Sus scrofa: one gene and its partners. The protein of the gene in region 4 interacts with the protein of the main gene of each other region in a biochemical or structural test. Links are inferred from orthologs where the notes say so. Each region holds a gene or a part of one and is shown on either strand. Other genes may lie near its edges.

The links.
Region 1: the proteins of CUL3 (region 4) and DCUN1D3 form a complex in vitro, tested with the Homo sapiens proteins (3 studies listed by BioGRID, with this or other methods). The link is inferred for Sus scrofa from reciprocal best matches to the Homo sapiens genes CUL3 and DCUN1D3.
Region 2: the proteins of CUL3 (region 4) and PEF1 form a complex in vitro, tested with the Homo sapiens proteins (2 studies listed by BioGRID). The link is inferred for Sus scrofa from reciprocal best matches to the Homo sapiens genes CUL3 and PEF1.
Region 3: the proteins of CUL3 (region 4) and KCTD17 form a complex in vitro, tested with the Homo sapiens proteins (3 studies listed by BioGRID). The link is inferred for Sus scrofa from reciprocal best matches to the Homo sapiens genes CUL3 and KCTD17.
Region 5: the proteins of CUL3 (region 4) and DCUN1D5 form a complex in vitro, tested with the Homo sapiens proteins (2 studies listed by BioGRID, with this or other methods). The link is inferred for Sus scrofa from reciprocal best matches to the Homo sapiens genes CUL3 and DCUN1D5.
Region 6: the proteins of CUL3 (region 4) and DCUN1D4 form a complex in vitro, tested with the Homo sapiens proteins (2 studies listed by BioGRID, with this or other methods). The link is inferred for Sus scrofa from reciprocal best matches to the Homo sapiens genes CUL3 and DCUN1D4.
Region 7: of the proteins of CUL3 (region 4) and COPS5, one has a biochemical effect on the other in vitro, tested with the Homo sapiens proteins (2 studies listed by BioGRID). The link is inferred for Sus scrofa from reciprocal best matches to the Homo sapiens genes CUL3 and COPS5.

What each region holds. Positions count from the first base shown.
Region 1 is NC_010445.4:25,150,272-25,154,300, reverse strand, and holds the start of DCUN1D3 (DCN1-like protein 3), read right to left. Parts: upstream 2,801-4,029; 5' UTR 2,613-2,800; intron 2,416-2,612; exon of another isoform or gene 2,289-2,415; intron 1-2,288. UniProt on the Homo sapiens protein: Contributes to the neddylation of all cullins by transferring NEDD8 from N-terminally acetylated NEDD8-conjugating E2s enzyme to different cullin C-terminal domain-RBX complexes and may play a role in the cell cycle progression by regulating the SCF ubiquitin E3 ligase complex, after UV damage.
Region 2 is NC_010448.4:88,153,328-88,156,827, forward strand, and holds part of PEF1 (peflin), read right to left. Parts: intron 2,270-3,500; coding exon 2,114-2,269; intron 1,642-2,113; coding exon 1,259-1,641; 3' UTR 1-1,258. UniProt on the Homo sapiens protein: Calcium-binding protein that acts as an adapter that bridges unrelated proteins or stabilizes weak protein-protein complexes in response to calcium.
Region 3 is NC_010447.5:10,716,167-10,720,268, reverse strand, and holds the start of KCTD17 (BTB/POZ domain-containing protein KCTD17), read left to right. Parts: upstream 1-1,302; 5' UTR 1,303-1,333; coding exon 1,334-1,528; intron 1,529-2,993; coding exon 2,994-3,102; intron 3,103-4,102. UniProt on the Homo sapiens protein: Substrate-adapter for CUL3-RING ubiquitin ligase complexes which mediates the ubiquitination and subsequent proteasomal degradation of TCHP, a protein involved in ciliogenesis down-regulation.
Region 4 is NC_010457.5:126,217,649-126,221,148, forward strand, and holds part of CUL3 (cullin-3), read right to left. Parts: intron 1,651-3,500; coding exon 1,505-1,650; intron 533-1,504; coding exon 356-532; intron 1-355. UniProt on the Homo sapiens protein: Core component of multiple cullin-RING-based BCR (BTB-CUL3-RBX1) E3 ubiquitin-protein ligase complexes which mediate the ubiquitination and subsequent proteasomal degradation of target proteins.
Region 5 is NC_010451.4:33,697,646-33,701,145, reverse strand, and holds part of DCUN1D5 (DCN1-like protein 5), read left to right. Parts: intron 1-1,184; coding exon 1,185-1,255; intron 1,256-1,667; coding exon 1,668-1,759; intron 1,760-3,500. UniProt on the Homo sapiens protein: Contributes to the neddylation of all cullins by transferring NEDD8 from N-terminally acetylated NEDD8-conjugating E2s enzyme to different cullin C-terminal domain-RBX complexes which is necessary for the activation of cullin-RING E3 ubiquitin ligases (CRLs).
Region 6 is NC_010450.4:38,981,260-38,985,484, reverse strand, and holds the start of DCUN1D4 (DCN1-like protein 4), read right to left. Parts: upstream 2,801-4,225; 5' UTR 2,651-2,800; coding exon 2,626-2,650; intron 2,257-2,625; exon of another isoform or gene 2,160-2,256; intron 1,072-2,159; exon of another isoform or gene 842-1,071; intron 1-841. UniProt on the Homo sapiens protein: Contributes to the neddylation of all cullins by transferring NEDD8 from N-terminally acetylated NEDD8-conjugating E2s enzyme to different cullin C-terminal domain-RBX complexes which are necessary for the activation of cullin-RING E3 ubiquitin ligases (CRLs).
Region 7 is NC_010446.5:67,739,248-67,743,327, forward strand, and holds the start of COPS5 (COP9 signalosome complex subunit 5), read left to right. Parts: upstream 1-1,280; 5' UTR 1,281-1,349; coding exon 1,350-1,759; intron 1,760-3,931; coding exon 3,932-4,080. UniProt on the Homo sapiens protein: Probable protease subunit of the COP9 signalosome complex (CSN), a complex involved in various cellular and developmental processes.

The DNA of each region.
Region 1 (4,029 bases), on a different chromosome or scaffold from region 4:
ACCACAGCCACAGCAATGCCAGATCCAAGCCGCATCAGCAACCTACACCACAGCTCATGGCAAGGCCAGATCCTTAACCCACTGAGCAAGGCCAGCGATGGAACCTGTGTCCTCATGGATGCTAGTCAGATTCATTTCCACTGAGCCATGACAGGAACTTCATCTCACTGATTTTTTAACACATGGCTTGAGATCCATCTGCCAAAAAAGTTCCAGATGACCACTGCCTCCTCCTCTCCCACTCTCAGCAGGGTGACTTTTTTTTTTTTTTAAATATAATAGGCCAAGTATACCCTCAAAGTAGTATGTGGTAAGACTCTAGGAAAGGCAACAGAATTAAAACGGAGCATCATTTTACAATTCCTTCTCCTTCTTACTCTTATTTTGCCTACCTATTTATGAGCCTATTTCCACCTCTCTGACCTAGAATCTTTTCACTCTCCTCTCTCCCCTAACCCATCTTCCCTCATCTCCTTTCCGCCTACCTCTTTTTTCCTCCCTGAAACTTGCCAAACTCACTCCAGACAGTTTCTGCACTAGCTACTCCTTGAACTTGGAAGGCTCCTCCCCTATCTCTGCATAATGGGCTCCTTTTCATTCGAAGCTCAGCTTAAGCGTCACCTCCTCCGAAAGGTCTCCGACTATATCTCAATCAGACACTTTCTATCACATCACTCTTGTTTCCTTCAGCACTTATCAAAATCTCATTTGCTTATTTATCTGTCCCCACACCACCTCCACTCTAACCTAAGCTCCAGGGCAGCGTGGACCTTACTGCTGTGTTCACCTTCACAGACCCATTGCCTGAAATAATAGCTAGCAATTAGTAGCCAGTCAAGAAAAGTTTGTTGATTGAATGAATTTTGGAGTTTTTAGTCAATGATTCCAATTCAGCTAAAATGAGAAAAGTAGTCATTTTTTTCTTCTGTTACATTTCTGTGAAACATCTAAACATGCCATTACTTGTACAATCAAAGCATTAAATATTCTGTTTTATCAGGCTTGAAAGCCCCGATGAGTAGAATGGAACCCATGTTATGATAATTTGTCTAGCAATAAGCATATAAATTCAGTTGCAGAGGAACAGGATTTATGGACTTTTTCTAATCAAATGATCCCTAAAATTTGGGCACCAACTCTTCAAGTTCTTCAGAAAACACAGCTCCAGATTCAACAAAGAATTTATTTCCAAATTTATAATCCAAAAAAGATTTCCAAAGAAAATATCAACACCAAAATAGGAATCATCACACTTCACTCTGAAATCCCTACAAAAGGCTAAAGTAGCACTACATTTTTTTCCCCCTTAAACCAACAGAATATCAACGGAGATCTTCTTCTTCAATCATTCTTTGCAATTTTCAAATGATTTTTTTACATCCCTTATTGGTTTACCTTCTTCCTTAAAACAAAACTAAACAAGTCACAATGTCTTATTTAACGCCACTTATATACAAACATTCAGCTAAATAAATAAGATGGAAATCAGTACAAGCCAAATGTGTCATCGAAGACTTGTGTGCCAGACACACAAGTGGAGAGAAAGATAAAAGAGCTATTGTCAAATTGTAGAAACAAAAAAGTACATGGGGTTTTCTCTTCTCCAAAGTGCATTATGAAGTGTGGGTGGAGAAAAACACAGAAATCCAGAATTAGCCTAAGATCAAAACATTCTGGAAAGAGTTGACAACATTTAAATTCCTCACATATAAAGTATTCAGAGGAAGAGACCTTGATTCCTGGACTATGATGCCATTCAGGAATCCCTGCAAGGCTTTGGAATTCCAGTATTCTTAGGAGAAAATGCTTATCTTAATCGGGAGCGACCGGGCATTGAGAAGTACTCCCAAAGAGACACAGCTTGTAACTGAAGTATTACAAAGCTTGAAGTTAAGATCTGGGATAGAAGCAGAACACCAAATTCAAAAGAAGGTACCAAGACGAAAGGGAAAAAGAAAAAGAAAAAAACACGATTACTACTTAGCCACGGAGAATTAAAGTGGAAAGGAGGGGTATGCATGGGGGAGGATGGGGGTGGGGGAGAATAGAAAAAAACAATACATTTGTCACCCTGTCCCACTTCCTATACAGGATACAGGCAAAGCTTCCAGCCCCATTACCTCAGGCACAGATGGTTATCGTTTACAGCAAAGGTGCATAGGAAGGCCTCCAGGTCTGAGCCCCTTAATTCCAGGGCTGTTAATGATTAAAGAGAAGGATGGGGGTGGGGAGGGAAATGAGGGCGGAGGAGCTGGAGATTCACCCACCACCTCCTGCTTGGGCTCCTACCTCACTGCACTTACCAGGGGCAGAAGACTAGAGTTTGCACTCCCTCCAGGGCAGCTCCGGCCCCCAGAGCCCCAGGCCTTGGGTGGCGGGTGGGGGGTGCCGGCGGTGGAGGGGCAGAGACAGTAGGTAAGTTTTCTGAGCCTGGGGCTGACACGCCACAGGGCCCCCTCACAGCGTCTTCCTCCAGCGGGACCAGTCCAGACAAGGCGCCGATTTCCACTCCTCCCCTTCTACCCCCCTTTCTCGAAGGTACCCAAACCCCCGCCCCTTCATCTCCCAAAGCCTCCCCTTTTCCTCATACACCCCCCAACCCCCAAACTCACAGCTGCTCCAGAGGTTCCTCCAGTCAAACCCTTTCTGGAAACGACGGCGGCCCGGCAGGTCCAAACCACCTACCATCCCCGCTCGCGTCTTCAAGCACCCTACCCCCACCGCCGCCGCCGCCTCTTCTTCCACCACTGCCGCCGCCTCCTCTTCATCTGCGGCCCACCGGCGGCGGCCGCCCCGAAACCCCGCCCCCTCCATCGCCTCCTGCATCATCACTTCCGGTAACCCCGCGGGCCGCCCGCTCCGGGAGGCGGAATAGGAGAAGGGCGGGGAGGGAACGAGGGGCAGGTTGCGTCACGACGTACGCAAAGACGTACGAAGCCGTCGCCAAGTAAGGGCAAAGACCTAGCGACGCGGAGGGAGGGCTAGGAGGAGATGGACTGGCCCATTTTCGGGGGGGGGGCTGGAATCCGGGGGAGAGGAGAGCGGAAGGGGGAAAGGAAAAATAAGAAAAGGTTGAACTTGGCTATAATTGTTGCGAATACGGTGGAGGGTGGTCTAGAGTGTGACGTTTAAGGAAGGCTCTAGCCTACCCCCGACCTGGTACGAATGCTCCCACGGAGGTTCGTCTGGTGGTTTGGTCTGGCCTGGCCTACCGGACCTGCTTAAGCTCTGTCGACCACGGCTCAGCTGGGCTCCCGGCGCCGCCTCCTCCCAGTCTGCCGTAGGCTGCGGCGCTTCTGTGGGTGGGGGAAGGCTGGACTGACGCAGAGTGAGTGTAGAGAATGGAGACGCTGACTCCTGGCGCGGGAGACTGGGGGAAGGGGTTGGCTCCCAAGGGGCAGGGATGGGTGAGGGTGGGGGGTGCGACGTTGCTAGGAGACGAGCCTGTGTGACCCCAGCCTCGCGAGGGCGGCTCGGTGTCCCCGCTGCTGGCGTGGGGAACCTGCCAAGGGAAGTGGCTCCAGGGCCAGGAAGGGGAAGCCTGGTTTGGGAATGCTGAAAATGCTGGTTTGGGGACCATCTGGGATGTCTGAAACCTTTGGATTCCCGAATGTCAATGGGAGATTAGTAGGGGCAAATTAGTAGGGCGAGGGAGGAAGGTTGACAGGACACCGATACTTTCTAAGATAATGAGAACTAGCTTCTTAGTGCAAAAGGCGTTGGTCTGTGATTCGAGTCTGGGAGAAAGTTAAAAAGTAAATCAATAAAAAATATCAGCAAGTGAGGAATGCCCCAAAGATAGTAATATCAGATGAAGTGGTAGAAGATGGGGTGAGGGCCACTTTAAATCCATAAAGCTACTCAGAGGAGGCTGAGTTTTGCAGAAATCCGAGAAAAGAAGGAAGGTAGGGAATGAGCTTTCTAGGTGGTGAAAAGAGCCAATGGGCAGGGATCTGAGGAAAGAAGGGAAGAAGGCCAGGTGCTTGGAGTAGGAAGGAATAAAAGCAAGAGCCAGGCAGAGTGGTCTGT
Region 2 (3,500 bases), on a different chromosome or scaffold from region 4:
GCTGTCCAAGACAGCAGGAGCACAGCGGGGGCTCTGCCTGGATGCTCCCCTTAGGTGGAAGGCCTCTATCCCTCTTTCTCAAAATCTCTATTACTGTCTGTTCAGTTAGGGGCCCAAGGGTCCCAGAATGACCCCAGTCTGTCCATGCTCATCTCTGACTTGTCTGTATTACAGACAGAAGCCTGAGTCCCCTCAGGCCCCGCTGCCCAGGGCAGGCACTAGAGGCATCTCAGGGAGATGACTCCTGTTCTGGAGTCAAGACAGCCCCTCGGCAAGCTGCTTATTAACCCTGCTTATCCTCATCATATCAGCTCTAAAACGGGGATAATAGTTATCTTGTAGGTTCTAGTAAGGATTAAAGGAAGCGATCATGCAAAGCACTTGGCCTAGCGCCTGGCACCTAAGAGGCACTCAGTTAAGTGTTATTTATTAAAAGTAATAAAATCATCATCATCTCCCCAGGCGAGGCTGCTCCCCCATCCCTCCACCTGGGTGCTTCCTTCTTCCTCTATCATCTACCAGCTCAGACTAAAATGTCAGCGCCCCTTCGCTCTTGCCCCTTGGGCAAGTTACCAGACTAAGCCTCAGTTGTCTCATCTGTAAAAGGGTAATAATAAGAGATCCTTCATCTAAGGGTGGGGAACAAGAATTAGTAGCTATCACAGAGGGAGAGCAAGTGATGTAACATCTCTCGTATGTAACAAGCACCTATGAAGAGTGCTTATTACAATGCCTGGCCACAGCAGGCATTCAATAAATAACAGCTTTCTCGTGATAATAATATCCCCTTAACCAATATCCATCACCACATCAGCACCTGACAACAGAGGGGGTCTCCCCCGCCTGACTTAGTCTGACCCAAATCTACCACCAGGGCAAGGGGCTGGGCTCTCTGGGAAGCCCTTTCTCCCTCTCATGTGGCAAAGCTCCCTGCCTGGTTCTCATCAGGTTCTCATCATCCACTAACTACCCATCCTCTAAAGTCAGAATTGGAACCAGACCTGGAGCTGTGGCCTCAGGTCATCTTATCCAACTGCAACTTTTAGAGTGGTCTGGGTCCCAGAGCTGGGAAGACACTGCCTTCTAGCAGAGCTGTAGCAACAGAAGCCATCTTTCTGAGCCCCTCTGCAGGGCTCTTCCATTCTGCACGTGAGGAGCTAGAGAGGAAAGAGCCACACAAGCCATACATACAGGTCTCAAAGTCCCCTGGGCCGAGTATCCATCCGCAAGGCTCCCTGCTGGCTGGGCCTGTCTCACCTCATGCTGCCTGGAATCCCATCACCAGAGTCCAGCTCTGATCCTGGAGCCAGGCGTTCCAGGCTCCCTGCCCAGCCAGGCCACAGAAGGGGTGGGGAGTGGGCCCGTGCTGAGGGCAGCACTCCCAGTGCAGTGGGATTATCTGGTAGTCAGAGCCAGAGAGAACCCCTTGCTCCATCTCAGGGAGTAGAGAGAAAGGTCCAGCTCTGCCTGTGCACCGAGGCCCTGCCAGGCCCTCACCTTGCTGCAGCTCTGTGTAGCTAATGGAGCCTGAGTGGTCCCGGTCATACTGCTGGAAGAGGTTCTTCCACTGCTGGATGAATTTCCACAGGGCCGAGAAGCCGTAGACGTCGATACGGCCTGTCTTGGTCTTGTCAAACAGGTCTTGGGGAGAAAGGAAAAAAGGCTTCAGGACTAAGGGCCAAGGGTCCTCAGGTACCACGGAGGCAGCCTTCTCCACAGGCTGGAGCAGGAGTCGCCACAGAATCACAGGCTGAGGCCCAGACGCCGCTCCCGACACCCGCCCCTCCCCCACATCGAGTACCACAGCAGCCCCTCCTCTGCCAGAACCACATCCCTCCCCCGGCTTGGCAGCTGACCCCTCCCTGCCATCTCCTACCAGGCCAGGGGGGCCCATCCTGCAGAACGAGAAACTGAGCTGGTCTACGACTCAGCAAGGTCTAGAACTTGAGAAAAGACCTAAGGAAAAGAGCTCTCGATCTAAGGGATCTCACCTTGAACCCAGCTTCCTGCCTGAAGGAAAGCATTCTCCTCAGAATGGCCTCCCACCCGCCTTCCATCAGACAGGAGGGGGCTCTGCCCCAGCTCGAGCCCTTGGGGAAAGGCTACGACTCACTTATCATCATGAGGCACGTCTCGTCGTTGAATGAGGACCAGTTGGAGTTGACCAGGGCCTGCTTCAGCTCCTTGATGGAGATGTAGCCACTGTGATCAGAGTCCACCGACTGGAACCAGGAGTAAGCCTCGGGGTCCACATTGGGAGGGGCTCCACCTGCAGGAAGGGGTGCCAACCAGGGCCATCAGACCCAAGTCTCAGGACCAATCTGCAGAGACGCTGGGAAGGGCCAGCCTTGGTGCCTCCCTGGAGACAAGCTTTCCTTACCCAGAGAGCCTCACAAATCTGCCTACCCCCCACCACCCCCGTCTTCCATCAAGACTACACCCTGACTCTAATGGAAGAGGACCTTCTGTGTAAACTCACGGGATCTGTGGTTGATTTCTCCTCCACGAAGCCTGAAGGAGCTCCAGTCACTTCTGTATTCGATTTTAAGTTTCTAAGGAATAGGGACTTGTCTGGCAGGTTAAGAATGCTCTGAAAGGGGGATTATCTCTTCCCCACAGACTAGGGACCCAAAACTATCTGCTGAGCACCTAACATGCACAGCCCAGAGGCAGGTACGAGAGTCCCAGCAGCAGGGAGCTCTCTGGCCTGGGTGCCAGGTCCAATGCATCTCTGACGGGCTCTGACTGGCACAGGGAGATGGCATGTTCTATCCCGAGCTGCCTGAGTGTGGGTGGCCATGGAGCCCCATCTCTCTTCCCTCCCTGTCACCTCTGATGCTCGTCCCCATCTCCAGACCTCTCGAGAACATCTCTGACACCTTCTCATCCCAGAGATCCAAAGAGCTACCCAAAGCTGGCAGCGCCACACACTGGTATCAACCCTACCCTGTTCCTACTGCTCCTGCCCCGATTCTGACACCCCTCATCTGGCTTATGAACAACCGCCGATTCCTAATCAAATCATCCTCAAAGCAACTCTCTAACACCGAGCATTTGCTGTTGAGTAATCTCAGTAAAATTCCACTCTTTTCTCACCAATTTCCCCCCACCTCAACTCAAAGCTCTTCAAAGGCTTCCCACTGCCTACAAAATAAAGTCCAGCATCCCTAAAGCAGCATTCTAGTCCCCCTGCAATGCGGTCTACCCCCGTCTACCTGTCACGCTGCCCCCACTGTGCTCCAGCCTAGATGCAGCAGGATGCTCGCTCCTACCCAGAACTGCACAGCCCCCCGCGGAGCCTTTACTCCCCGGGTTCTCTCCCTTCTCCCTCAGCTCTGTGCATCCACCCTTCAAAACCCAAATAAAATGCTCTTCCTTCCCTAAAGGCTTCCCTTGCCCTCCATCCTTTTGCAGGCCTCCTTCTTCTCTCCTTTGCACTCCGTCTCTTGAAGGCCCTGATCACCCCACAGCATACACATTTTTTCCTGCTCCCTCGAGGT
Region 3 (4,102 bases), on a different chromosome or scaffold from region 4:
GAACTTGCAACCTCGTGGTTCCTAGTCGGATTCATTAACCACTGAGCCATGATGGGAACTCCTCTTTTTCTTTTCTTTTCTTTCTTTCTTTCTCTCTTTTTTTTTTTTTTTTTTTTTTTTTTTGGCTTTTTAGGCCCTCGACATATGGAAGTTCCTGGGCTAAGGGTCGAATCGGAACTGCAGCTGCTGGCCTATACCACAGCCACAGCAATGCTGGATCCAAGCCACATCTGTGTCCTGCACCACAAATGTGGCAACGTGGGATCCTTAACCCATTGAGCGAGTCCAGGGATTGAATGCACATCCTCAGGGATACTGTGTGGGGTTCTTAACCCACTGAGCCACAACAGGAACTCCCCAGTAGCAACTATTCTAATTCTCTATTCAGGGAAAACTGAAGTTCAGGGGGGAAGTTGCTCAAGTTCACACTTGAACTTGTGCTTAAGAGAACACAAGTTCCTAGGAGCAGGAGTCTGGTAGCAGTGCCACTTTCCCTGCCAAGGGGAAAGCAGAGCTGGAGGAGTTATAAGCTTTCCCCCAGTGCAGGGCCAGGCTGCCCAGTGTGCGGGGCCAGTGGGTGTGACACTGGCATTGTGACACTGGCATCATGGAGCAAAGTCTCAGGTCCTCCCCCTACTCCAGGACCAGGACTGAAACCATGAGAAGGAAAGGAAATTAAGGAGGAAAGCTTCCCTTCAGCCCTTGGCCCTTCTTCTCATGTCAGCTGTTTGATAACCCATATTGGACAAAAGGAAAATGATGCTGGGAGACCAAAGAGGACGATTGCTGGCTTGGGGTCTCACTCACTCTTCTCCCAGTGACTTGGAACTTGACCGTCACTTCTGGTGAGGGGGTGGGGCTGGAATGGTCGGGGGGGGGAGGGGGTTGGGATTGGCACATGCGCACTGAGGTATGAATGACTGGCCAACCCGTACCTGTGCAGCACAGAAAACTCTACCCAATGTTCTGTGATCATCTATGTGGGAAACGAGTCCGAAAGAGAATAGACGTGTGCATGTCCAACTGAATCACTTTGTTGTACAGCAGAAATTCTCACATTGTAAATCAACTAGACTTCAACGCAACTTTAAAAAAATGACAGAAAAATAACAACTTGACCTTCTCCAGAGTAATTTGGCCAAGGACTTCTTTAAGAGACACCCGCTTGCGGGTCTTCCAGGAAGGGTAAAGGAGGGCAGGACTGGGGAAGGCAGGATCGCGGGGGTCGGGGGACCCTCAGCCGGGGCTCCACCTGCGGGGGGCGGTGCGAACTACAGCTCCCGGCATGCCCTGCGCGCGGTACCTGCCCGCCTCCAGCCGCCTCGCCGGGAGGATGCAGACGCTGGGAAGAGCGATGAGGATGGAGGCCGGCGAGGCAGCGCCGCCGGCGGGGGCGGGCGGCTGGGGCAAGTGGGTGCGGCTCAACGTGGGGGGCACGGTGTTCCTGACCACCCGGCAGACGCTATGCAGGGAGCAGAAGTCCTTCCTCAGCCGCCTGTGCCAGGGGGAAGAGCTGCAGTCCGACCGGGTGAGGCCCACGGGGTGGGCGGCTGTCGGGCTGGGGATCCTTCGCTCGCTGGAATCTGGCTCTCCGGCCTGGCACCCCCTCGGGGCTGGAAACCCGGCCGGGTTTATTTCCAAGAGCTGGAGGCGGGAAGAACTGGCTGGAGCCCGGGAGAAGGAAGTGGATCGGAGAGTGAGGGATGTGCCATTGCCGTGGCAACAGGACAACGCCAGGCTGCGGCCATTTGGAGCTTTTGTGCCCAGGGCTCCCAACCCCGGAGGCTGATGGATGGGGACTCTCACCCTGCTTTGGAACTGGGGGGAGGGACAGACCCCTAGGGCCTTTTCTCCTGCCCAAACCGGACTCCTGCACCACAGAAGGAGTGCAAGGCTACTTCTCCCCGCCGTTTGGGGTGTGGGTGGCCTGGTGTGCCAGGAGCTGGGTGGAGAAACCCCAGGGTGTGTTCTGAGCTGGGCTTCATCTGGGAGGAGCGCTGGCCTGGGGCACCATTTCTGGGTTCCCATCTCGGCTTTAAAACTGCCTGCATGACTCTGGGTCAGATACTTCCCTGCGCCAGGCTCAGCCTCCTGCCTGCAACCCCAGGGGGCTGGTCAGGCAATGACCTCAAAGGCTCCCTCCATCCCATTTCCAGACCCTCTGATGCTATGACCTTGGGCGAGTCCCCTCACCTGATGATGTCTCTGCTTTCTCTCTGTAGAGTTGTGCTGATGCCCGCCCTGCCTCCCTGCAGGCTGAGGGTATCCAATGAGAGAGCGGTTCCTTTGGAAACTTGTAAACATCCCCAGAATGACCGGGGATCTAGTGAAGACAGCTTAGAGCTGGCTTCAGGAAACAGCCTCTAAGAGGGACAATCCCTGAGCCCTACTCTGGGTCGGATGCCACTCAGACCTTACTGGATGCTCACAATGTCCCCTCATTATGGGGGAGAGGAGTAAGGCTCAGAGAGGCCCATTCACTGGCCCAAGGTCACACAGCCAGGAAAAGGCAGAGGCAGGATTTGAACCTAGGTGTGTCTGACCCCAAAGGCTTTTTTCGTTTGCTTGTTTTTCATTTTAGGGCCGCACTCACGGCATATGGAAGGTCCCAGGCTAGGGATCGAATTGGCGCTGCAGCTGCTGGCCTACACCACAGCCACAGCAACACAGGATCCAAGCCACAACTGTGACCTACACCATAGCTCAGGGTAACACTGGATCCTTAACCCACTGAGCGGGGTGGGGGATCAAGTCTGCATCCTCATGGATACTAGTTGGGTTCTTAACCCGCTGAGCCACATGGAAACTCCTGACCCTGAAGCCTTTTAATTCCATCCTGCCCCTCTGTTCTGGGGATGAGCAAACCCTCTGCCTCTTCCTGCCCTCCCTCTGATCCTTTACTGGGACTGAAGTGAGGAGGGGGTGTGCAGGGTCAGACAGGGAGCGGGGGTTCGCTCTTCTCCTCTGACCGCCTGTGCCCCTCGCCCCCACAGGATGAGACTGGGGCCTACCTCATCGACCGAGACCCCACCTACTTCGGGCCCATCCTGAACTTCCTCCGGCACGGCAAGCTGGTGCTGGACAAGGACATGGCCGAGGAGGGTGAGTTGGTCCAGGGGGCTGCCCGGGGCCCACACCCCAGCCCTGTCCTGGGCGGCCTGCCAGGGCCTTCCATGGAGCTCCAAAGTTATTTCTCCCAGCTGGAGGGGGCATCACCTTTCTTCCACATTTCCTGCCTCTTCTCATCCCTGACAGGATCGAATCCTAAAACCTCTGCCCGGGCTGGGCCTGGGGACTCTGCCAAGGTGACTGGCCGTGCTTCCATTGGGTGCTCTTGGTGGCGGCGGGGGGCGGGGGGGGGTTGCGGTGACAAGCACAGAGGCAGTGGCCCAGGAACTCCATATGCCATGGGATGGCCAAAAAAGAAAGGAAAAAAACCCCACAGAGATAGTGGGAGCCAGTGGGGCTGGCAGCCTCCCCTGTGGGAGGGGATGGCCTGGCCTCCCAGGAAGCCAGCTGTGAGCAAGGGTGGCTGTGGGCATGGAGGCAGTACGGCTCTCTTTCTCTGGCTGATCCCGTATCTCAGATGACTGGGGAGGGCTTACAGTCCGCAGCTGGTGGAGCAGGGGCCTCTTCCCCAAACTGGCAGCCTCTGTAGCGCAGTACCAGCTGTGGGTGGCAGCGGGGAAGTGGGGAGTCCCCTCCCCAGCGAGGGTTCAGTCCCTCCCAGGCCTGGGTGGCTGAGGCCCAGAAGATGTCCACTTTTGGGCCCAGCACCCAGTGGGGGAGCCTTGCCAGGGAGAATGGCTTCTTGGCAGAGCCCTGGTCAAGAGCTGGGGGTGCCAAGCACACTTTTCCTTAAGGCAGAGGGTGTGGCTCTGGGTCTGCGGATCCAGCCAGGCCAGCTTAGACCTGTCCCTTCTTTCTGAGTCTCCACTTGTGTGTGTAAAGTGAGGGCGGTGACTTACCTTAGGGACAATAAATGTCACGCGTCCCGGGGCTTGTACCCTCTAGGTGTTTAGCACAGAGACCTCATCCCCACCCGGGCCCCCGATTTTCCGTCCTGACCCCTGAGGGACACAGTGATCTAGAGGCCACGTGG
Region 4 (3,500 bases):
AAGGATTGTCTGATACACACCACCAGAACCAGATGACGGCAAGCAAGATTCTAGGTGCCACGGACAGTTGTTTTCTAGTTCCTTATTATCTCTAGCATATCTAACTTCAGCTTCTGCAGATATGGCTGTGTAGTTGGTTTTGATGCCAATTACACATTAAGTGAAATGTCAAAGTACCTTTGAGCATTTCAAAAACTTGAAGCAATCCTTTCAAATATCACAGTGCATATTTAAGCATAGCAAAGAATTATGTTTAATTTTATAGCTACGGTATTTCAAAGTTTTCAATTTTACTTCCTAATTTTATATATATACAAATACAATTTAATGTATTTTCAAATGCATTAATACTTACCCCTTTGACTCCCTTTTTCAGCTTATCATCAATAAATAATGAGAGGTATTCAGGGGACCTAGAGTTGAGGTTGAGAAAATACTCAAAGTCACCCGCGATAGTTTGTTTAAAGAGCCGGTCGTTATTGAACGATTCCTGGAGGAAGCGATCAAACCTACTCTTCAGATCCAATAAGCCCTTCCAAATAAAAATAAAGAAATTTAGGATACATTATAATATTTTTTCTATAAACAATACACTACACGTGTAACTAGAAGTTTATCTTCAACTTTGCTGCTGATAAATACGTGCATTAAGTGCTAAACTTACAGATTCTATACTGTTAATTTTTTCCCCCTCCCTCTCTGCTTTTTAGGGCTGCACCCGAGGAACATGGAAGTTCACAGGCTAGCGGTCGAATCAGAGCTACAGTTGCTGGCCTACACCACAGCCACAGCTACGCGGGATCCGAGCCGCACGTGCGATCTACATCACGAGCTCACTGCAGCACCAGATCCCTGACCAACTGAGCGACTTGCCAGGATCAAACCCACATCCTCATGGATACTAGCTGGATTCGTTTCCACTGCACCATGACAGGAACTCCCTCTATATCGTTATTTTCAAGCCTGCATTTAAAATGTCAGTGGTAAGAGAAGTATTCTAACTTCCATTTAAAGAGGAACCAAAGATCCTTCTCACTGTTTCTCCCCACCTTCCACTACCTTGACTGAATGGGCGAGTCTAACAAAACTAGTTTTAAAAACACACAAAGAAACCTGATTATTCATATTAAAACATGAAAAACAGAATTGGTTGAAAACAAAGTATGCTGAAACAAAAAGTACTTCACTAAAACAGTTAATTTTTGTTCTAACACACTAAGGTACATGAAGAACACTAAAAGCATACAAAAAAGAAGAACTTTCATTCTTGAGACTATTTAAAGGTCTTCATCAGACAAGCTAATAAAAGAAAAGACATCAGCTGAATTTGGCTCCCTAAATGTACATGCTTTACGAAATTCTAAAACATTTAGGATAGTTACACATGTTAATTCGCCATGGAACAATAAAGCCAGAACTATGTACTACATAGCTCTTACAAGGGACCTTTTAAACACTTGCCAAAACTACTTTATGATCAAGAGCATCTTCTATACTTACTTACCTGGATATAGTCAACGGGATTCTTTCCTTCTCCTTCTTCAGAAACAAGGGCTTTACCTTGTTCCCTCAAATAGGAACTCATACACTCACACATCGTTTTCAAACCATTTGGCACGCGACTAAATAACTTGTACATGCAAGCAAGGTCTGCAATCAGAGCAAACACATAAATTTGACTATATTAAAGATTAAGAAAAAAATTCACATCTCTGTTCATGCTGATCTGTGACGCTTAAAAGATATTTCTAAAAACAAACAAAAAAATTCTCCATTACAACCATTTGCTGACCACATAGAAAATTACTAAAAAATCTCTTAGGCAGAATTTTAAAAAAAGAAAAAAAAAAATCTAGTTAATGGTTATTATTGCAACTTATAAAAAATAAAGCTTAAATATATTTCAAAGGCATCAATAAAACACTGCAACAAATTTTAGTTTACATGAAGAGAAGATGTCCAAACAGCGTAATAAACAAAATCACAAAAAAACGAAAACTGTGAAGTTTTCAGTTTCTACATAATTCTATACAATTCTAATCTAGAATCTACTAATATTACAAAACAACTATCAAAATGATAACCTTAATTGTGGTGTAACTGGTAGTCAATGTAATAAGGAAATTTAAACAGACATTTTCAGCATGTCTATCTCATAAGTTCAAATGACAACAAACAAAATTAAATACGCTAGGATTTATTTCATTACCTATCATGGTAAAATTCATGTGTACTTATAGCACAAATTCCTATTCTTTACTGTTTTCCTCAGAGTAATCCCTAATATTTCCCAGGTGATGACCTAAGCCAATATCTGTATTTTAAAAATTTGGTTTACCTCATTACATTGTTTTAGAATGAAAACTCTGGACTCTGGCCACTTTTTGCAAGATTAAAATGTGGTGTTAAGATACTGCTTTTCAGTATGTCTAGTGTTTCTTTGAAATAAGAAGTTACTGGGAGACTATAGCGTCAAAACTTTACAATGATATATTTTAAACTTGTGATCCCTACGGTCTCTGCTGCAACCAATTTTGCCATCGTGGCCAGAAAGAAGTCTCAAATACATAAATGAATGGGCATGGCTGTGCTCCAATAAAACTTGGTTTACTGGCACTGAAATCTAAAATTTATATAATTTTCATGTGCAATGAAATACTGCTCTTTTGATTTTTTTTTTTTTAAACCAAACTGGTGGTAGGTCAGATTTGGCAGACAAGCTATAATTTACCTATGCTAGTCTATATTTATAAGAGCAATTTAAATCCTAAAACTAAAGTTGCATGTATTTTAAAAATACTTGGATCCAAGTTTTACAAAAAGGGCTTCAGAATTTGTTTCAGTGACTTTTAAAGGAATATTTTATTTAAAAATGTTTTCAATAATATATGTTCAAAATAATCTGCGTACTACAAATCTTTTTTTTTTTTTTTTTTTTTTTTTTTTTTAAAGCTGTAAGCAAGGACTTTATTTATGGTCTCCAGTCAACCGCTGTGCTTCTTTTTTTTTTTTTTTTTGTCTTTTGTCTTTTTGTTGTTGTTGTTATTGTTGCTATTTCTTGGGCCGCTCCCGCGGCATATGGAGGTTCCCAGGCTAGGGGTCGAATCGGAGCTGTAGCCACCGGCCTACGCCAGAGCCACAGCAACGCGGGATCCGAGCCGCGTCTGCAACCTACACCACAGCTCACGGCAACGCCGGATCCTTAACCCACTGAGCAAGGGCAGGGACCGAACCCGCAACCTCATGGTTCTTAGTCGGATTCGTTAACCACTGCGCCACGACGGGAACTCCTTTTTTTTAAACTTTTTTTTTTTTTTTTTTTTGGTTGTCTTTTTTGCCATTTCTTTGGGCCGCTCCCATGGCATATGGAGGTTCCCAGGCTAGGGGTTGAATCAGAACTGTAGCCACTGGCCTACGCCAGAGCCACGGCAACGTGGGATCCGAGCCACGTCTGCAACCTACACCACAGCTCATGGCAACGCTGGATGGTTAACCCACTG
Region 5 (3,500 bases), on a different chromosome or scaffold from region 4:
TACACATAGTTACAAATTTTGTTTTCTTATGAGGAGAACTTTTAAGATTTACTCTTAGCTACCTTGAAATAGGTAAAACAGTATTATTAACTGTAGTCACCATGCTGTACAGTACATCCCAGGACTTCTTTATTTTATAATATTTTATTAAAATAATTAATTTTATAATTATTTTATAAACTTTATTTATTTTATAACTTTGTACCTTTTCGCCATCTTCACTCATTTTGTCCACCTCTGACTCTGACAACCAGCAATCTGTTCTCTATATTTGAATTTGGGTTTTTGTTTTGTTTGTTTTTTGGTAGATTCTTTATACAAGTGAGCTTATATGGTATTTGCCTTTCTCTCTCAGAATTTTTCACTTAGCACAATTCCTTCAAAATTCATCCATATCATAGTTTGTTTCATTCTTACTGAGTCACAAAAGAGGCCTAGCAATGATGTAATTACTGCATGGGCAATCTGATAACATAAAAAATATGAGAATTGGGAAAAAATAAGAAAAATTCCTCAATTTTTGGACTAGGATAAGACATAGCTAAGGAAGGGTTAAACTTTTATTTAAGGTGACATAATGCTCATGCTTTATTGTCTGCTTTAGAACCAGATAATAAGGAAAATATCTCATTTTGGACTCTCTATGTAGCCATTTCCTTAAGTCATAATTTTCATAATGTATCTTAAAAGTATTAAATTTTGTTTGGGTATTTCAGAAGGTTAATGAATGACCTTTTCTTTTAGTGTGAAACAGATATTCTCCTCTGCTTACTGTCTTGAATTATGGGTTGGTACTGGCACATTTTAGTCAAAGAAGCAGCTCAAACATTCTTATACGTCTTTATATTCATGCATTGCCAAAAATTTTCTTCAGAGGAGGTTCTGAGTAAATGTTTTTTTTTAATGGATAGGTTCAATTATTATACAACCTAGTGATTCATATTAATGTTACTTTGTTTTTTATTTCTTAATTCTATTTTGTAATATGCTTTTAAAGAGTATTTTAGAATTTTTAAATTTGGTAATAGATATTTTGCTTTATTAAAGATATGTCAAAATTCAAATTTGGTTGTTTGCAGAAAATGTTATGGTATATCCATAGATGCCTTTAACACAGTGGCTTATGTTTTATGTTGATATTAAATTATAACAATAAAATATATAAATTATTTTTGTCTTTGAAGGTCCTGATGAAGTTGTAGGGCCAGAAGGAATGGAAAAATTTTGTGAAGACATTGGTGTTGAACCTGAAAATGTATGTTTTATTTCTAAGTAGAATGGAATACAAGTGGGGTATAGCATATTCATAAATTTATAAAAATTGGAACACTTTAATCTTATAAGAAAGTTTTGTTTCTTCATGAATATTGTAGATTTTTATTTAGGTTTTTAAAATCAGTTTAAGTTGGGCATGTGTGCTTTTTCTTGATACAAATGTCATTTGCAGTAGACTAAGAGATTCTACTTTCAGAAACTGTTAGAACGTTTAGCTTTTAAGAAATTGGCCCATTTAAATTTCTTTAGAGTTAATAATTTCAAAGATTGTACCCTGTAATAAAGTTGAAGGATGGACATAGTTTGTATAAAAATGCTCTCCATTATAAAAATAGACATGATTATCTCTATTGCTGACTTTTCCCCTATCCTTTATGTTCTGTTCTTTCCAGATTATTATGTTAGTTTTAGCGTGGAAATTGGAGGCTGAAAGCATGGGATTTTTTACCAAGGAAGAATGGTTAAAGGGGATGACTTCATTACAGTAAGAATTTTTTTTAAAAAACAAATTTGATGGCCTATTTGAAGATCCTAATTGATATTTTGTGTTTTGTAATTTTCAGGAGTAAGGTTTCACCTTAAATTAATCAAATTGGTTTGATCTGTAACAGTCAGTTTGAGATTGACAGAATTTATATTGTGATCTTTGCAAAATGAATAGCTACCCTTTTTTTCATATTCTCTAAGAAAGAACCTAAGTATGGTCCTATTAAAACTCATTAAGTTTTGTTGGGTGAATTAGCAGTTCATGATTCAAGTTACTTATAGGATGTTTGAGTGGTAAGAGCCTTCCTTCTTAGAATATAGAATTCTACTACATGAAGAGTTTGTTCTTTGGGCAGTCCTAAGTTCTGGGGCCTCCTCTCTGTCTTCAGTTTTATCCTTAAAAAAGAAATTTGAAGAGGGTTACATGACACTTTTATCATTTCTTTTTTGCCAAATGAATCTCATAAAGAACAAAAGCAAGTTATAAAATTGCTTCTTTATAAAAATAATCTGACTTTGGCTTTCCAGTGTAAAGTGTGCATAGTTTCAGAGTCAATTAGTAATTTTTATATTTTGTCATTTCCTGATGTTCATGCATTATTGTTATTAATCAACATTCTAAAGTAGTTAGGGCAAGCATTAATTTATAGTATTTTTGAGCCAAAAATGGGGCCTTTCAAGTTGTGATTATACTTTTATTAATATACTTAACCGTTCTTTACTTCTTGTTTGCCTGTCCTTAGATTTCAAAATACCTGGTTATATTTTTTTTAAGTGTATTTGTTCATATGGAACTTAACTATTTAGATTTGAATTTTTCAGTGTCTAATGTTTTGTAGTTCTCCTTTTTACCAGCATTGACATTTAGATAGTATAAATATATATACACATATATATTTGTTCAGTGTAAAAACCTTTACTCATATGAACCATAATTTCTAGAATAAGACGTAAGATCACCCCTCTCATTTTCATTGTTTATAGGTGAGATGAGTCTGAGACTCAAAACAGGTGAAGAAAATTTTTATCAAAGTTTACATGGTTCGTGTATCTAATCACTTGTGATGCAACATGATGGAGGATAATGTGAAAAAAAGAATGTATGTAAATGTGTAACTGGGTCACTTTGCTGTACAGCAGAAATTGACAACACTGTAAATCAACGATAATTAAAAAATTTTTAAAAAGATGCATTAAAAAAAAGGTTTACATATGGTGGAGTTCCTGTTGTGGCTCAGCGGAAATGAGTCTGACCAGCATCCATGAGGACACAGGTTTGATCCCTGGCCTCGCTCAGTGGGTTAAGGATCCAGCGTTGCTGTGATCTGTAGTGTAGGTTGCAGATATAGTTCGGATCTGGTGTTGCTGTGACTGTGGTGTAGGCCGGCAGCTACAGCTCTGATTCAGTCCCTAGCCTGGGAACCTCCATACCTCTGTATGTCACGGGTGTGGCCCTAAAAGACAAAAAAAAAAAAAAAAGTAAACCAGCTATAATGGAAAAAATAAAAATCATTATTAAAAAAAAGTTTAGGAGTTCCCGTCGTGGCGCAGTGGGTTAACGAATCCAACTAGGAACCATGACGTTGCGGGTTCGGTCCGTGCCCTTGCTCAGTGGGTTTACGATCCGGCGTTGCCGTGAGCTGTGGTGTAGGTTGCAGATGCGGCTCGGATCCCACGTTGCTGTGGCTCTGGTGTAGGCCAGTGGCTACAGCTCCGATTCAACCCCTAGCCTGGGAACC
Region 6 (4,225 bases), on a different chromosome or scaffold from region 4:
AAGAGTGTCCTGGATATTCCACCAAAAGCTTAAGTAAAATATAAGATAGATGTAAATCTTTTCCTGATAAAACCACACATTGCCCAATTTTTCAGCCATTATGAAAAGAATGATCATTCAATCAAGTACTCAAGTTCAGTATATTTGTAACCATACTAGATAGTTTCCAAATCTTTGGACTTCTTGGTAAAATTTTTATCATTAGGGTCATTATAATACTCTTCTAGTGACCATGCTACCAGTAGTTTCATACCTAATACATCACATAAAAATAGTCTTGTCATCTCTGAGCTAATCTGATGGCATCTGCTTATAGATTTTGGAGTCATGGCATACAAATGGTAAAGGGAACTGGCAAAGGATGCAATAATGTCTTGAGAGTCTACAGAGTGACAGGATTGGTTCTAATATCAAAGAACAAAAACACACGAAAACTTAAGGTCCTCCACTGAGTTTACCTTCCTCTAATCTCATCTGCTTCCCATGCTTCTTTGAAAACTGAGAACATCATATATTCCCTTCATTCATTTTCACATTTTCACGCTGGTTTAAATGAACGGTTTTAAGTCCACTCTCAATTCTATTAATCCACCTCCAACACTCATTTCAAGACCATCTTTTTTCAAAAAGTTCCCTTATCCTTCGGCAATGCAAACGGCTCAAGAACTACAAACACATAATTTAAACTACCTCCACAAGGTTTACACGGGTCTCCACTGCTTTCTCAGATTTATAAAAGACTGAACCTTTTAACCTAGTGTTTACATACATGAGATGCTACAAACACACACCATCCTTTTGACTGTGTTGCATCTTGCATGTTTTTCCATAACTTACGTACTAGATGGTTCAAGATAAGCATTTATTCTGCAAGTAAGGCCACCAAATGCAGGGGGAAATAACCAACTTGGGGTGTGAGGGGGGAATGTAGAGCCCAAGTGTGAAAGGGCTGAGCTTGGCTTGATTCTCCCCCACCCGCTGACACAGGGAGAAAGCCCCAGGGAACAGGAGCGCCTCCTCAGAGCGCGCTCGGATCCGCCGGGAATAAGGCACCAGTTAACAGAGCTGGAAGGCTCCGAGGGCCGAGCTGCATTCTGGGACTCGTTTCCACAGTTACCCACGTGCACCCAATCCAACCGCGGCCCGGACTACAAGTCCCAGAATTCTGCGGGACTGCCTTCCCCTTCACACCCGGCGACTGGAGCCAGACCCTAAAGGAAACCCCTAAAGCGCCCTCCCTCCACGCCTGGGAGAGGTCGCGCCCCTAGGGCGCTGCGCTGGGCCTGTGGTCCGACTCTCCTGACAAGGAACCGGGTCCCGGGGCACCAGCCTCCACACCTGACGACCAGAAATTAGACAACTGCGTCACAGACTGCCAAATCCACGGACCGCCAGGGACCCTACCACCACCACCCACATACCGCCCCTGGCCTTCAGGGTCCGACCCCTCCGGGTCCAGCCGCGGAAAGCCCGCAGCGCGCGCCTCTGCCCCGCCTCCCAGTTCCGCAGGCAGAGCCCGCGCCAGCGCTGACCTCGCTTCCCGCCGCTCCGGGGGAACCGCGGCCAGCGCACCTCCCCCGCCCCCTCCGCCCCGCCCCCTCCTCTCCTCGCATCCCGAAGCTTAGGGCTCCCCCTCAAGGTACCCTGCCCATAATCTGGGGGAGGATACACCTCCCCCAGTCACGGAGTCTCACATCTTCCCCTTCAGCCCCGCGCGGACCGAATCTGGACAAGATAGTCTTCTCCCTGCCCCGGCCCCTCCCAAGTAGCTCTTCACCCCCACTGCACCTCCGCTACCCCTGCCCCCATCCGGTCACCCCAAACCCTCCCCACCTCCTTCCTCTCTTACTCTCAATTACCCTATCTTCCCAACACCTGCTCCATCCTATTATCCCAACGTTTGCCCCCCTCTCACCACTCCCAATTACCCCTCCACGCTTCCTATGGCCCTCCCGCCCGCTGGACTCCCCAACTATCCCATCACACCCCAATCCCTCCCACCATCTCGCTTTCCCATTACATCAGCTCTCATTTGCTAGCCCGCCCTCTTGCCCCGCTCGGCCGCTGCCCCCAATCCCCCACCCCATTGTTTCCCCCCCCACCCCTGCCATCCAGCCCTTCTTCCCATTGTCCCCGCCCCGCGCTCCCCTAGCACTCACCCGCCTTTCTCACAGCCGCCCGCACCGCTCAGCTCCTAGGAAATCCTCACCCCTGCGCCCCGCTCTCTCGCTCGCTCCCTCCCCCTCTGCCCCCGCCGGTACCAACCCCCAGCCCTGCTCGCTAGCGCCCGCCGCCGCCTCCACCTCCATTCACCCCGGACACTCTGGTCCCGGCCCTTCATCGCACGTCCCGCCCCCCCTTCCCCCAACACTGTAATGGAGCCAGTCCCCACCCCCTCACCTCCGCCCTCCCCCGGCAGGCCGGCCCCTTCCCCCCACGCCTGCCCCCGCCCCGCGCCGCCCGCAGCGTCACCGCCCGCCCCGGCCCCGGGAGGGGAAGGGGTGGCTCCCGGGCAGGGGCTCCCGGCTGGTTTCGGGACAGGAGGCACGGGGCGGGGACTGCGGGAGACTAGCGGAGAGTGTTAGCAGCCGCCCGGCCCCGGCCGGCTCGCTCTCTGTTACTCACTGACAGCGGCGGCATCCGAGTGCATTTTCGGGCAGCTCACACCCCGCTCGCCGCCCCGGCTCCCGCGCTCGCCTCGCGGTCCCCCCACCGGCTCGCCGCACCTCGGCTAGGAGCTGAGGACCCGCCGCCAGGCACTCCCGGCCCGCCCACCTCGCCTCCTCCATAGGCTGAACATCAGCTGAGGGACCGCCCCTCCTCCGCTCTCATTTGACAAAAGGAGTGCGGAGAGCGCCGGTCTAGAGCTGGCAAAGAGGCCCCGCCCCCTGAGCTCCAATGCGATTGGTCCCGGCGCCTCGTCCCCGTAACGCCCCTGGTGGAGGCCATGCTCTGGAATAGCAGGTTGGACCCGGCCGCTGTCACTCAGCCCCGGGGGTCCGAAAGCGCGTGTAAAGGCGAGGCTGGGGAATTGGCCCACCTTGACCCTGAAGCCCCGCCCTGTGGCGGGTGGGATTGGTGGAGCCCAGACCAACCGAGAAAGATGGGTCCGCGTCTGAAACAAAGCACGCGAAGTGTTTTCCGAAGAACCGAGAAGGGGAAAAGCAGTTGGGGCAGCTTGTGTCCCGCTGCAAGGAGTAGGAGAGTCAGCTCTTCCCTTGCGCCCCACGCTACTCGTCGGGATCTCCTGTTTGTCGCGCACGCCTCGGAACGGCTTTCTGCAGGAGCTGAGTCCTCGCTGAACTTCGACTGAGACTTCTCTTGCTGTTTCCTACAGCTAGAACCTGGATAAAGAATCGACGCATCTTCATTTACAGCAAACCCTCTGGTGAGGAACAAATTCTTTCTTGTACAACAATCCATCCTCTCCCCTTTTTCGAAATGCACTTCTTTTCCAGAGTCAACACACTTCTTTCTTCATCACAGATGGGCTATTCTAAAGGCTTCGAATGCTTCATTGTCGGTGATACACTTACGCGCGCCCCAGAACTCAGGCAGGAAACCAAGGGCCACGCTTTGGGCTCAGTCTGGCAAGCGGCTGGTTCAGGGGCCAAGTCACTAGCCCTCAAAGGACAAATAAGCGTTAGCTAAGTGAGCCTAAGTCATTGACGCTAAGAAGCGGTCCGGAAAAGCAAAACTGGCTGTTATTTGGTGGAGGACGACGTTAATTTAGAAGACTTCTGACCATTGAATTTATTAAGTCAGGAATTCGCATCATTTTCATGAGTGCCGACCATTTTTTTTTAAGACTTTCAAACCCACTCGTCATACTCACCGTATTATTGTAGCAGAAAAATATTTTGAGATATTAATGGAGGACCTTTCCCTCCAACCCCAACCACAACACATACACCACTTCTCTGTGTGCCATCCCGCGGCCAGGGCATCCTACTCCTCCCGCCTCGGAGAATAGATGACACCACAAATAACTGATAACAAAACAGTCGTTTTGATTTTAGACTTATACAGCCAAGGCTTTTGAGTTCCAGGGTTCTGAAATTTCGGTTTCAGATCATAGCCTTAAATGTTGTGGGCAAAACAAGATATTTGAAAGAACAAGAACCAGTTTTTCCACCACACATCACTCCCTTTATAATGTGCTGCATCCCTTTTAATTCCTAATGTCTCATTAATACGTTATATCCCTATCATTTTATACCTGTCA
Region 7 (4,080 bases), on a different chromosome or scaffold from region 4:
TATGCAGTACACCCCAAAACTTAGTGGCCATATGCTACCACTAGAAAAGAGATATCTAGATTCCCGGGACAGTGGAACTAAGTGACCTTTATCTTGTTAGTTTGTACGAGGGCTTGAAAGATAAATTTTCTTCAAATGGAATTTAATGTCAAAACCACAGGCGGAGTTGTGGATTCCATAATACTAATGTTGTCTTAACTAAATGTCACACAGCTTTCTAGGAGTGGAGGATACAGCTCAGAACCAAGTGCCCTGCACTCTGAAACTGAGAGTGAAAAGAAAAACTTCCAGGTAAACAAATACATTATTTCCTTGCACTGTAACAGTTATGCAAGCACCTACAGGCATTTAGAGACACGGCAGAAGGATTACTGGAGAGAGAAAAGTTAAGAAGGATTGCGTGGCAGAGAGCTCTGAGCTGTGTTTTTAAATGTAAGTTTAAACTCCCAGTCCGAAAAGTCAGGGGAGAGCTTTTCAGGCAATGCTAGCCACCTTATGCAAAGTTTCAGGGTAACTAAAGAAAGATGAAACTGGAGAGGTGAATTGTGATGCCCCCCCTCCCCTTTTCCCCCAGGGGGAAAAAAATTGAACATCTATGGTAGACATTGAGGATACAACAAGGAGCACACCTGGTCCCTGTGTTTTGGAACTTAGAATCTAATGCGGGGGGGGGGGGAGAATAACTAAAACAAGCAAATAATGAAATAATTAAATACCGTTTGAACTCTTGGATGACAACCAATACTCCCCCTAGATTAATTCAGTCTCGGAGCAGAGTTAGTTCCACAGAGCAATGCAGAAGATTAAACTGTAAACTATTATAGCAACTGGGTACTGGACATTTTCGGGACATTAATAGCGCCTAGAGATGTTAATTTTTACAAACACACCAAGGCATGACCGTAGCCATCCACGAGTTTCCACAGCTTCATATGATCGCTAGAGAACGCCCAAGAGAAGCTTAGTGCCCAACCACGAGCCCATAGGATTTTACACATGTGCGGTGATTCATCTGAAAGTAAACTAGGATGTCATGTATTCTCTCAAAGCCAGCATTCAGAACTATTTATCTCAATTTTTCCAGACATCCTTTTTTTTTTTTAAGTCTTTCAACAAACTTACTGCATTTAAAGTACCTGCACCTACATAAAAACAATTCTTTCTCCCATCCCCGTTTAAGGATCTATTTTTAATATGGCGGAGGCCGAGCCTGCGCAGTACGAACAAGGAAGGTCAATTCGTTTTCTGGCATAACGTTACATGCCCTTCTTCCGGTGCGGAAGGCTATACCATTCCTTACATAAACGCTGTTTTTGTCTTAATTCACACATATAATTTTCCAAGATAATATGTCTTCATTTAATCCACAAGGAGATTCCTCTGTCTCTAACTATTGTGTAACTGCTGTTTACACCGTCGCGTTCCGGAAGGACCCCCGCCATCCTCGAATGGTCGGTACCAACTTCACCTCCGGTTCTAGGTGTCATGGCTGCCTCGAGAGTCTAGTACCAGTTTGCACCTGCGGTGGGGTGGGTCTGAAGCCCACACCCGGAAACCTAGCGAGGTTGAAGTTGCGTCTTGGTTGTAGGGGCAACAACTTCTCCGAATCCTCTGCGATGGCGGCTTCTGGGAGTGGTATGGCCCAGAAAACGTGGGAATTAGCCAACAACATGCAGGAAGCCCAGAGTATCGATGAAATCTACAAATACGACAAAAAACAGCAGCAAGAAATCCTGGCGGCGAAACCCTGGACTAAGGAGTGAGGAGGTCCCTGGCGAAATGCTGGGGAGGGAAGGGTGGCGGGAGTTTAAGAGACCCAGTAGGGGTGGGAGCTGAAGCGGGGACTGGGCTTGTCTTTTCTTGTGCAGGGAAGAGGAAGAGTAAGCGTCTGAGAATTTTTGCTTTGCCTTTTTATCCGCGCAAGTTGAGCGTAAGTCCCTCCTTTGGGGCTCGCTTGACTCCCCTTTCTGTCTCTTTAACCCGTTTGCCTCGGGAGAATGGAAAAGGAAAACGGCAAGCGGTGATTTGGGCTTTTACTCCTCAACACCCATACCGTCACGTATGCTACACACTCTGCCTTGAATCCTGTGTCGGTATACACTTTGTTGGGACTTGCAGCAGATCTTAGACTGGAGACTGTAGCTGTCTTCAGAAATTGAGCCAGCCCAACGGTCTTTAATTAAAAGCCATCGTTTAGATCTGTAATTGTTTTTCGATTGCTGGTAATTATTTTAGAAACACCGCGAGGTTCTACTTAGTCTCCCAAAATGTTAGCAAGTTCACATAAGCTACAAATTAAATCAATAGAGTTCTTTGCCATTTAGCAAAACAGCTGTGTCCCTGAGAGTGATGACAGATCGAGGATTCTTTCCCACAGCATTTATCCTTTCCTGAGAGCAGATATTGTTAGAGATAGAGTTAAAAGAGCACCGTCTCTAACAGAGAGATAGATGGGAAAGCGGTGGTCAACAACAAAAACCATGCTTCATCTGTCCCACAAGGCAAGCTTTAATTGTCATTATTCAGATTCAGCAATGTTTATTGAGTACTTACTAAGGACTGAGCACTGAGTTGGTTTGCCTCACCTGCTCTTTCTATAGCAGGCTGTGCATTTTAGGTTGATAGAGCCTATTAAATATTTGGAAACTATTAGCCTCGCTGTGTGATTGTATCTCTAGTTATATACAACCTAGCTGTCTTGAGCCACATCAGTGAGACCAAAATGTAATTTTATTCAACAGTAGTTTAGTCACAACCACAGATGAAAAACTTAAACAGTGATCATAGCAGAACTAAAGATAAGGCTACATTTTCCATTTTGAGGCTGATACCACAGAAAGAAGCCACAGCCCTCAACAGACTTCTTTGAGAGTTCTGTAAAAGATAGGTTGATAATGCTAACAACAGCTAGCATTTAAAAAGTTTTAGTATGTGTCAGGCACTAGGCTAAGTACCTTATATACATTATTTCATTTACTTCATTTCCTCCTAGCAACAGCCCTGTGAAATATCCCTATTTATAGATAAGGAAACAGGCACAGAATTAAGTGAATGTCTCAAGGTCACAGCTAGGACATGGTAGTGCAAGGATGCAAAGGTAGGCAGATGGATGTCAGAGCCCACATTTTTTTGGAGGGGGCACACCCATGGCATACGGAAGTTCCTGGGCTAGGGGTGGAATCAGAGCTACAGCTGCCATTCTACACCATAGCCTCAGCAACACCAGATCTGAGCCACATCTTCGATCACACCTACTGTGGTGATCATTCCACAGTATATGTAGTACATCATGGCAATGCCAGATCCTTAACCCACTGGGCGAGGCCAAAAATCGAACCCACATCCTCATAGATATTAGTCAAGTTTGTTACCACTGAGCTGCAATAGGAACTCCAGAGCCCACATTCTTAACTGTTAGGCCAAAACGTTAGGGCCTGAGAATAATGAGGTAAATCCATCCAACCAGTCAGAAACCAAAATTTGGCACAACCTTGTAAATCAACTCTAAATTTAAAAAGATTTGGTGATACCAAAATTAATGGAGAAAAAGTCTACTGAAGTGGTCATGTAAGAATAGCATATTAAAAAACTTTTTCAGAAGTTCTCTGGTGGCTCAGCAGATTAAGGATCCAGCATTGTCACTGCTGTGCCTTGGGTTCAATCCCTGGCCCAGAAACATCTGCATACTATGGGTGTGGCCAAAATAAATGCCCACTATTTCATAGTGTTCCCTTTCCCCAGTGGGAAATACCTTGCAAGGTTATGATGTGTTTCCATCTCCCTTTTCTACTTCCTCCTTCTTTCCATTCTACACTCTTCCTCCCCATTCTATCAGTGTTAATTCCCTCAATGCTTGTTAATCTCCACAAAAACTGTCTTGAAATTCTACTTTATGTAAGAAAGTTAATTACACCATGCTTTTGTTTTGTAGTCACCATTACTTTAAGTACTGCAAAATCTCAGCATTGGCTCTGCTGAAAATGGTGATGCATGCCAGATCAGGAGGCAACTTGGAAGTGATGGGCTTGATGCTGGGAAAGGTGGATGGTGAAACCATGATCATTATGGACAGTTTTGCTT